2 linked regions of the Arabidopsis thaliana genome follow. The protein of the gene in region 1 interacts with the protein of each later gene in a biochemical or structural test. Each region holds a gene or a part of one and is shown on either strand. Other genes may lie near its edges. The genes, in order: CDKB1;2 and HDA15.

The links.
Region 2: the proteins of CDKB1;2 (region 1) and HDA15 form a complex in vitro, tested with the Arabidopsis thaliana proteins (one study listed by BioGRID).

The regions. Positions count from the first base shown.
Region 1 is NC_003071.7:16,150,640-16,154,760, reverse strand, and holds CDKB1;2 (cyclin-dependent kinase B1;2), read right to left. Parts: upstream 2,289-4,121; 5' UTR 2,211-2,288; coding exon 1,577-2,210; intron 1,495-1,576; coding exon 1,425-1,494; coding exon of another isoform or gene 1,355-1,424; exon of another isoform or gene 1,270-1,354; coding exon 1,131-1,269; exon of another isoform or gene 988-1,130; coding exon 895-987; 3' UTR 675-894; downstream 1-674. Other genes in the region: AT2G38630 (Transducin/WD40 repeat-like superfamily protein), read left to right, coding at 1-144, 243-478. UniProt on the Arabidopsis thaliana protein: Together with CDKB1-1, promotes both the last division in the stomatal cell lineage as well as the number of stomata.
Region 2 is NC_003074.8:6,359,390-6,366,215, reverse strand, and holds HDA15 (histone deacetylase 15), read right to left. Parts: upstream 5,041-6,826; 5' UTR 4,922-5,040; intron 4,664-4,921; 5' UTR 4,612-4,663; coding exon 4,477-4,611; intron 4,383-4,476; coding exon 4,197-4,382; intron 4,070-4,196; coding exon 3,967-4,069; intron 3,851-3,966; coding exon 3,786-3,850; intron 3,647-3,785; coding exon 3,571-3,646; intron 3,252-3,570; coding exon 3,187-3,251; intron 3,085-3,186; coding exon 3,029-3,084; intron 2,865-3,028; coding exon 2,741-2,864; intron 2,631-2,740; coding exon 2,505-2,630; intron 2,389-2,504; coding exon 2,338-2,388; intron 2,225-2,337; coding exon 2,156-2,224; intron 1,938-2,155; coding exon 1,829-1,937; intron 1,686-1,828; coding exon 1,606-1,685; intron 1,504-1,605; coding exon 1,421-1,503; coding exon of another isoform or gene 1,393-1,420; exon of another isoform or gene 1,340-1,392; coding exon 1,294-1,339; exon of another isoform or gene 1,213-1,293; coding exon 1,034-1,212; coding exon of another isoform or gene 1,030-1,033; exon of another isoform or gene 959-1,029; coding exon 817-958; 3' UTR 601-816; and 1 more. Other genes in the region: RTFL20 (ROTUNDIFOLIA like 20), read right to left, coding at 5,920-6,081. UniProt on the Arabidopsis thaliana protein: Responsible for the deacetylation of lysine residues on the N-terminal part of the core histones (H2A, H2B, H3 and H4).

The sequences.
Region 1 (4,121 bases):
GCGGAGAGCTTGTGACCTCGTTTGAGGATCATCTTCTTTGGCATCCAGACTGTAACACAAACAATATCTACATAACAAGCGATCAAGATCTGATCATCTCATATTGCAAGGCAGATACTGAAGATCAGTGGATAGAAGGAAATGGTAAGTAGACTCATCATCCACTCTTCAAATCAAGAAACCTCATGGTCTGATTTTGTTTTGCTATTGAGACATTGTCGTGATTTTGGTTGTTGATGTAGCGGGGTCGATTAACATAAGCAATATCTTGACTGGTAAATGCTTAGCTAAGATAAAAGCAAATAATGGTCCTCCTAAGGAAGAGGACTGCAGCAGTAGTGATTTGGGGAATTCCTCTCGAAGGAGAAGTGCGGTTGCTGAGGCTTTGGAAGACATAACCGCTCTCTTCTACGACGAAGAACGGAATGAAATATACACAGGAAACAGACACGGCCTCCTCCATGTCTGGTCTAATTGAAGCTACTCATCATTTGTTTTGTTTTTTTTACATTAATACAAGAGATCTCTGTATCTTGTTCTGTTTCTCAATTGTGTAATATCATGAGATATGTAATTTACTTGTGTGTTTGAGTAGCAATTGTCGTTGTAATGAAACAGCAAATATTTCAAATTCGTCTCTCATTTATGTACACTAATGATTTGTCTGCTTAATAGGGTTAACCATTTTTGCTTTGATAGACTTGTTTACATGAACAAATAAAATTGGCCACTTAAAGAAGATTCTCTCACTCTCGCTGAACAAACAAGGTTTTCAGATTGTTTAGTTTAAGTACAAATCTTTCTAAAGCACACAGCATAAGACACCAAGACAATAAACTTGAGCCATCAGCTTCAGAACTCCAAAGAGAAGCCTGATCAGTAATTTGGCAGAGGTCAGAACTGAGATTTGTCAAGGCTGTCAAAGTAGGGATGATCGAGAGCTGCTTTTGCTGAAATTCTTTCTGCTGGATTGTACTTCAACATTTGCTGCAATTGTTCAAAGGTTCAAAACAAATTATCATCAACTAGGAACGAACCCCAACAGAAAGAATCTACTAAAGAGATCAAGTATGCAAGAGAATCTTAGGCCACTTCTCCAACAATGGTCATATTTTAGAAAAGAGCATTACCGTGAGAAGATCAATTCCTTCAGGAGATAGAGATGGAACAGCACGTGATAAGTCTTGCGGCTCCCACTTTGGATAGACATGCCAGTCACGCAATGCCATTACACCCGGCCATTGCTGCTCAGTTGGTGTTCCTAACAATCTCCAGAACCCAAAACAAAACCATACTTCAGATATATTGATACTAGACAGTCCCCATAATCCAAATGAGTTCACGAGTACTGAACCTAATGGGCTAAAGTCCTAAACTGGTTCCTGTATACATACACATTGGCATCAAAAACAAGAAGCAAATACCTGAAAATATGAAGTAGTTGCTGAAACTCAGAATCACCAGGGAAAAGAGCTTGCCTCCTAATCATCTCGGCTACAAAAAAATGGGGAAACATCAGTAATCCAAACAGTAGAACAAAAGACCATTAAAAGAGACATAGTAGCTGATTACTAACCAAAGATGCATCCAACAGACCAAATATCAACAGCAGTAGAGTAATGAGTAGAACCAAGCAAAACTTCAGGAGCTCTATACCAAAGAGTAACAATCTCATGTGTATAAGCCTTAAGAGGCACAGTAAAAGCACGACTAAGACCCAAATCAGCAATCTTAAGAATCCCTTTATCCTTATCCAATAGAAGATTCTGCGGTTTAAGATCACGGTGAAGCACACCATGGCTATGACAATGAGCCACACCTTTAAAAAGCTGAAACATAAACCTCTGCACAAGAGAAGCCTCAAGCGGTCTAGGATTCGAGCCCTTTCTATGAGAATCTATAAATTTCTTGAGATCAGTGTCGAGATACTCAAAAACGAGATAGAGATTGGATTTGGGAGAGTGAGAAACAGTCGAATCTTTCGATTGAATAACATGTTCGACGCAGAGGAGACGAACGATGTAGATTGATTGAGAAAGCATTTGGAGAAGAGAGATCTCACGGAGAGCCGTTGGTGGTATACCTTCTTCGTCCATTTCGAGCCTAGTTTTCTTCAGAGCGACGAGTTTTCCGGTGGTTTTCTCCATTGCTTTGTAGACTTTTCCATAGGTTCCTTCACCGACCTTTTCGAGCTTCTCGTATTTCTCCATTGATGGAGGATTTTGAATTGAGACTGATGAATGTTTTTTGTTTGGGTCTTATAAACCCTAAAGCCCCTTTTCGATTTTAGATCTGGTAAATAAAGGCGCCTCTTTGCTATAACGTTTAACATTTGAATCCCTCGCACGCTTCACACGTACCAATAATATTTTATTAGTCAAAGACTCAAAGTCATTTTAAACAGATAAGTATAGTATAAGATATTTGCTTGATTATGTTTATAGATTTCAATTCATTATCCATGGTGAATGTTTAGTTGAATGAATCTATGCATGATCTTTGATGTAAAGCCGGCCCTGAGTACAAAAAGCTAAGCTCATGCTTGCAGCCACAACCCATAATAAAGATTTTTCAGTCATTTATTTTGCTAAACTATTAATATTACTTGAAGAGTCGATCATTTCGCATTAATTGGTTGAAACTTCGAGCTTTTCCAACTTCATTTTAACTTTAATCTAGTATTTAACATACTAATTAATAAGACTATAACTGTTTTAGCTTGTATCCCATTAGTTTTCTCCTTATACGTTAATGTTCAATGTTTGGCACAAACTCAAAAAAAGAATTTCTTACTACGTAGTTTTTTTTCACTTACTCAACCAATTGGAAAAATGTTTAGGTTTGATTTTTTGTGTTCGAATTTGTAACTTCAATTATTTTGGGACTGTGAACTCTTACTCATTATTCATTAATGGTGGGTTGTTTCTTGTGTTCTAGGCTTCTAGTATACATGATTCAACTTCATATGATATTGATTCAGTTTCACATTTTTGATTTATTTCAACTTTATATTCTTCTTACACTCATTCCAATTTCATGTATGGTAATTGCATCAGTTTTGATCGATAGTTACATTAAGAAAACCATTTCTTTTTACAATAAAGATACTACAACAACAACAAAAATTCTGACTAGGTCTACGAATGTGCAAGGTATGCAATTTCACAAACTCATAAAAATCATCATAAGAAGTTCTATGTAAAGGGGAAAGAAAAACAAGATTATAAACAAATTGTGTGTTTCATGTGGAAACTAAACAATGGCTGAATATTAAAAAATTATTGGACTACTATACATAAAAGAAAATTACAATAATGAAAAAGAAAACAAAGATAATATTCAATGATAGGGCATTGACTAAACGAAAGAAAATGGCTTAAAGACTTTAAAGTTGATTATGAAAAACCGTTACTGATTTACTAGGGTCAATAAACTTATTTGCAACCATTTTATTAAGGGAATTTAATGAAAAAAACCGTCAGCTTTGGTCAGATCTATTTTTAAATTCTGAACTATGTTTTTAGTAAAACAAACTCTGAACTAAAACCTGTTAATAAACTTAACCCCATAGTAATTAAATATTAATGGGATATTAATTTCCAAAAATCGACCAAAGAACAATGACAGAATCCGTGATCCAACTGAAGATCGTCCACCTCAAAAAGTTCTTTATACACGTGAAAAAGTTTAAATGGTAAAATAGAGAACAATGAATTATGTTTCACAAGATCTTCATTTTCAAATTATTAAATTTAATCTTTGCATATTTAGACTTGCAGCAATTGTCAACAAGTCGGACACAACAAACGTTCATGCAAGTGTAAAGCAATGCCAAAACCACCCAAGAAACCTCAAGGACGACCAAGGAAAAAACAGAAAACAATGGATGAAGAGAACCCTATCACTCAGCCAATACAATCTTCTCTTCAAAGTTAATGCTTGACAAGTCTTTACTTTAGAATATCTTGTCCATCTGAAACGATTGTTTTTTTTTTGTGACAAATATTGTTGTGTTGCAACAGCTTCGATAGTTATGTTGGTTGGATTTATTTAAGCATGACTCTTTGGATTATTTTAAGTTATTGTGTCTTTCTTTCAGCTTTTAAAATCCAAACTAATTA
Region 2 (6,826 bases), on another chromosome or scaffold:
GATTCTATTGAAATATTTGAAGGATTTACAAGGATTTTAAAAAGATTTTATAAAAGTTTTAAAAACATACAAGGTTTTTTAGATTCAAATTCTCTTAGAAAACAAACATATGATTAAATAAAATGTGGTTGATTTACAAAAATTCAGCTAGTTCATAATCGAAATTAACCGATAGCCCCTCTATCTACCTAAAATCAGAAAGAATTAATCTGAATCGAAGCGATTATTCGAAAGTTCTTATTTAATAGAGCTGGACTAATATTCTTAGCCGAACAGTGCCAAAATTTTGGTAATTAGATTTGGTTCAAAATACCGACAAAACTGTTTTGTTTGGTTTTGGAAGATTGAACATATCCGTATTTAGAAGCTCTTTTAGTTTTTCATAAATTTCTAAATATTCTTAAATTCTTCTACTTTTTTCTTTTTTGTAAATCAAATTTCCTAGCCGTATCAAACTGTGTCAAATATACTGAAATTGATTGAAATATACCAAAACCAAAAAGAATATACCGGAATTATTGGAAAATGAGGATTTTGGACACCGAGAAATGAACAAGAAATTTGTTTTTGGTTTGGTTCGACATCAATAATTTTAAGATAAACCAAACCGAACTATAAATTTGGTTAAAGTAGGAATTCGTTTATCCAAACCGATTGCCTAGCTTAAGAGGTCTGATGAGGATGGTTGGTAAGCAGGTTAAAAGGGTTCTTTCTATAAAACCCTACCAAATGTAAGTGATAAAGATTGTTCAGAGCTCCCTAATTGCAATAAATTCCCCCAGATCAGTTAGGGTTACAAGTAAGTGTAGACAATTCCTACGACGGATTAGGAAGAATGCTTTCTAAAATCACTTTGATCTTGAAATCATACGAGCCGAGAGAAAGTTGTACAAAAGCTTCTTTCGTCCCCATTTCCACCATGTCGGAACCCGAACAACCTTCCTTTTCATCTGATTTTCTGTAAAACCAGTGAGATTTTATTAGGAGAAAGAAGGATGAAGAATGAAATAGTTTTTTTTTTGGGAAGCATCACTCACTTTTGTTTTCGATCAGACGTGCTTCCAACTCTGAGAGTAATTTGGAGTAGCTGATAGCAAGTGATGGCCAGAACTCCAGTTGGATATTCAGTACATCAAGAACAGTTTGCAGGCCGGCTACTGAAGGCGTGGTGGCGATGGGCAACTCGTTCTCCGGATTTTCACCCAGAAGCACCTTTATAGATTAAGCGGGATCATGAATCTCCATAACTATATGCAGATTTTAAAGGATATCAAGTTTGAAATAGAGACTAACCTTGATCACTGCTGTTGCAGAAGCAGATATGGAGCGAAGATTGTAGCTGCAAATGAAAACAGGAGATTATTCAAAAGCTGCTCCTTACAAACCAAGAGGCTACTCCAAAAAACTGCAAAACACATACCCGCCCTCGAGAATAACTAGCATTTTCCCACCACACAGATCACCCAACATCTGTGTCATTCGAGAATAGCCAGCCGGAGTCACCTGAAAAAAGGAGTAGAACAGAACATCTATCCTCTGTTGATATCCACAAAACAATACACTGATTCCAGAAGTGGTAAATTACAGCTCGAATATGAAGCTTACATCACAGCATCCTAGTGGGTCTCCTCTAGCCGCATCAAATCCCGCAGATATGATGACAAAATCTGGAGAAAATGCAGAAGCTGCAAGAGAAGGTTCCAGTTAAAATTAGACTGAGTGCACATTCAAAAGTGAGCTAAATGTATTTGGTCCACTTCCTGAGCATATTAGTCATCAATTAAGCCAAAACGTTTATCAAATGGGGAAAAGTAGAACGACTCTGTACCTATGGGGAGAACCACATGTTGAAACGCAAAGATATAGTCTTTATCCCCAACTCCACCGCAACTCCATGGAACATTTACACAATAACCTTCCCCACCATTAGAACCAACCTGCACCCATAATTAACATTAGCAAACTATTGTTCTGCCGCCTAGAGAAAATTCAAATTTTGGAAACAAGGCAGAAATTAGAAAATAATCCCAAAATTTAAGACATAAATCATAATGCAAACCAAACACACAAATAAGGTATATGCATATATATACCAACAACTAAATCTACTCATGAATGCTGGATGAGACAATGTAAAACAGAAAAGCATAGGTACCTCATCAGCAGCTCCAGTACCGGGATAGAAGTTTCCTCCCTCATGTCTGTGCAAGGATATGTACAATACCTATGCAATGACTCCCAGTAATAAGTTCAAACAAGGTCAACTCACAAAAATAATTTACTGCATCCAACACTCCAAAATTGATGTGCAGACATGCATAGATTTGGGCAGCTTACAGATTTGTTTTGTTCGAATATCTCTTGGGTTCCGTTGCCATGATGGACATCCTGCAACGGTAGATATAACATTGATATGAGCCAAACCACACAATGCAGAGTACAACGAATTAAAAAAGTTTGAAGATCTACAAAATCACCCAGTTTAGAGTTATCAGTAACATTACCCAGTCCACAATCAGCACCTTCTTTGCCCCTGCTGCTTGTGCTACTAATGCAGCAACGGCTGCATTATTGTGAAGGCAAAACCCCATAGCATGCCTGACGCCAGCATGATGACCGGGAGGTCTAACCTGATACAATCAGAGATTTTTTTTTTTCAAACTAATATGGTGTAATTTCAATTTAAAGCAATTGTGTAGTTGCATCTTTAAATTTAAAAATTTTGGTGAATTAGACATACCAAAGCAAAACCATTTTTTACACGGCCAGTGAAAATATCTGTAGCTAGATCAGCGCACAAACCTGCTGCAAGTCTAGCAGCACGTGCTGAATACTCATTAGCATATGTGTCAGAGGTGAAGTAGCTGCCAGACAATGGTAAAAGAACGGGATCAAGAGCAAAAAGAGATAAATGAGGAGCAGCGAAGGTAAAGGAAATTTCAATTCAAGTTTGAACAGTCAGATTAACAAGCAAGGATATGCACGGTGAACGCAAAAAAAAAAGTAACAAATGGTTTAAAATTCAAACCTATAGAGAAGCTGGCTTGTAGTATCAACAGCATCAACATGCTCTGAAGTGTGGACCTCAAAATTGACATATACAAACCAGTTATGAAATTGCTTGTAAAAGTACTGCAATGAACATAATATTAGAATTGTCTCTAAGACAGTTATGTAGCAGCTCACCATCTGGAGTTCTTGTTTCGTGATTTCCCTTGCATTGATAGGCAAGCATCTTCCAGGAAAAACACCTGCAAAAAAATTCAAACGTGGTGAGTACCAAAATTACTCCCAACAGTATGATACTGTAAAATGAAACACATGATATGATATATGGGATCAAGTCTCAGAGAAGGTAGACAAGGACGCTAGAAGCTTCTTAATTGAAGAAGTTATGTTCTGATCTTTTCCTTTTAGAATTAGAATTTTATTATTTTCCTTTTTAGTTTTAACTTACCTCGGCTGCAAGAGATCTATATAATGATCTCCAAATCTTAATAATAATCAGCTTCCAAACATTAGTCTTCTTCTCAAGAGAGGCTAGGTTTAAAGGAAGTAAACGCAACATACCAGCTGTGGCAAGACTAGCAGCTATAGCTCGAAGACGATCAGGTCTCTCTGGATGTGGTTGTGCCTTCACTTCAAACTTTTTAAGCATGCCATCAGCACATATTAAATAGAAAAACTTGCACGAAGAAAAGCTTTGGAGATGATAATGTAGAGATGTCAACAGATACTAGAGGTTTCTCAGGAAAACATAACACATAACAGTAACAAGATCATACTTCTGAGTGTAGCAACATTCTCTCGTCGAACCCAACAGCTGTCGAGCTGGTTGCAGATGAGCTTCCTAATATCAAGTTAAAAGAAAAGTGAACATGCTTACAGTTACTTAAATAGCATGGAACTGAGACTAACAATATTTATAAAGACATTTTCAGAGGAAGCAAGGGAAGTAATTCCTACCTCCATATTTCTCCTCGACTTCAATGAGACCAGTGTCTTTAAAAAAGGGAGACGCTAAATATCCATGCCTCAAAATGCCAGATTCCTTGTGCTCACCGCATATCTACGTCAAGGAATCAACTTTACTAATACATAACCAATGTCCAATGCGCATTGCTCAGACGTACGTTTGTCACTTTGAAATCATAAAAAGTAGTAGCCAAGCAAGAAAAAGTAAATAAAAAACGTACACAACAGTGGACCATATCACCAGGGTTCGACATAGTGCAATTGACACAACACCATTTTACAAACTCCATAGGCGCCTGCACAGGTTCCCAATCACAATCATCATCCTCATCATCGTCATCATTGAGTAATGCATCAGCACCGTAAATATCTTCAAACGTCATTTCTCTAGAAACCCTAGCTCTTTTCTGCATAAGACACAACAATGACCAATATCACCAAAAGCAGAACCAACCAAATCTCTGACAATACATTAAAAGGAAGCCATGGTTTTTAGCTTACCGCTGAAACTCCAGGAGCTACATTTATATCTCCATTGCTACACTCTTCTCCCGAACAAGGAACAGCGATATCTCCACCGTTCACATGTCTTCTCTTTGAACCCTCACAAGACCTCTCGATAGTTTCTACAACCATTGTTACCTCAGTAGTCACTCAAAACTACTAACCAGCTGAAAATAAATCTCCGCTGTGCCAAAAGAGAAACAAAGAAAAACCCAATTTGAGAAATTTTAAAAATCAAAAAGTTTCATATACGAAGAGCTAAAATCAAAATCGAAGAAAATGTAAAGAACTCCACACACAGCTACAACAAATAACTTTACGAAGAACCCAACTTTTCTTCGAGTATTATCGAAATCGATCCTCGATCCAGAACTCAGGAATTGTTTTTTTTTCTCTATGGAAACTGAATAAAAATATCAACGACGGTCTCAAAATATCATACCTGAAGAAAACTTCCGGCGAAACGATGAACAGAGAAGGCTGCGTCCGTCGCGTTTAAAGGAGCGCGACGCTACGATAGCACAACAGAGCAGAAATGAGAGAAACGACGACGGCGACAACGAAGATGACGACGTTCAGACTTGAAAGAGTAAAAGATTATTTGGGCTGAAGATGAAGACCCAATAACACTATAAGCCCATTACCAAATTTGAGTCAAACTATTTATTTTTATTTCCTTTTGCTTGGAATTTTTCATTAATGTTCAAGTATTGAAAGAGCAAAGTACGACTGAATCTTACTTCACAAAGCCAATTTAGGTTTGTTGTCTTCTCGAAATGGATTACAAAAGTTACCATTTTTTAAAGGGAATGAGACTTTAGTTGTTATGTCATTGAATTTTTGTTTGGTAAATAACCTAACTGATAACTTCATAATATTTATAGTGAAAAATGTTTGAATCATCAGGTAATTAAACGTCACACTACAGATTGTAGAATGACTAATGGTTAAACTAACTGATAATGACCAGCTAACATAATCAAAATACGCCCAAGCGCATTAACACATGTGAGACTGATATTTGTTTCCCTTACCTTTTTCTTTTACCTTAACCTAATTCTAACTGTAAGTACTGAATCCAATTTCTTTGTTATATAATACATGTTTGTGTGCATGCATCTCCATATAGTACTCAAAAGCATCGTCTTTGTCTTTTCTCTAAGAATTTATTATTCATACATTAATATTAATTCTACAAACATGGGACTATGGGAGATAGTATTCCGTTATATATATAGTTCACAAGAAGAATATTGAGTGATATATTTCCATATATAACAACGACGACGACAACAAGAACACACCCACATAAAATGAGAGATGAACACCGAAATGTTAAAGATGTAAATATGTTGAGCTCTCTCTCCTTTTTATACCTCTATCATCATCTATACCTATACATGATAACATAAATATGTATGAAAAAATGTGTGTTGACTATCACTTGTGTGAACAAAGAAGCATAGTAATACATTTTCCAATAATGTAGAACCTTCCTTTCTTCTTTTTCAGAAACTCTCCAACTCCTTTTGGTGAAGAAGGCTTGTTCTTCTTCTTCTCCCAATTCTTCACTGCTTCCTCCTTTGTGTACTTCTCCCTCATTGTTTAAAGTGTGTTTATAAAACAAACTTTTTTGTTTTTCCTTATTATCAGGGATTCAGGGTGATTGTGTGATGATTGTGTGATGTTTAAATGGAAGTGAAGATTCATCATATTATATATATTGGAGTGAGAGAGAAAGAGATAAGGAGAAAGTATTCCCTACCATTGATTCGGGACCCTTCAACGAAACAACCCAAAAATAAAGGCCACTTTGTGAAGTGTGACCGACTAGCTTCCCATTATGGTTGAAAATATTTGATGTATTGTTTTCTTGTCTCCTTTCAGTTCAAAGATTCATCATCGGTAGAGATTGATTTATTCACTTTGATTATTGGAATATTATGTTAGAACATACGGTATTGCAGACCGTCCATATCTCATCTTAATTTCTTTGAATTTAAATTGAACATGCAAACTAACGTTATGGTTAACTGCTAAATAAATACATAAAATGCAAATTCCAAGGAGCTTTCGGGTTTGTTTTGAAATACATGTTTAAAAACTTCTGCATGACTATAAAAAATCACGAAACTAAGTGTTATATGCCTTGCCTTTAGAGAAATGCACGAGCTAGTCAAAAGTTATCGGATCACAATGTCGTTAATGTATAACAATTAGGTCTAATCACAATTCACATTTAACCCCGTAATATATTTATTGTTGATAAGAAGAATATACATTTAATGTTCTTCCCTTAGTTTACAGTTAAGGATCTAAAACTCTGAACACATTCCTAGTTTCAGAG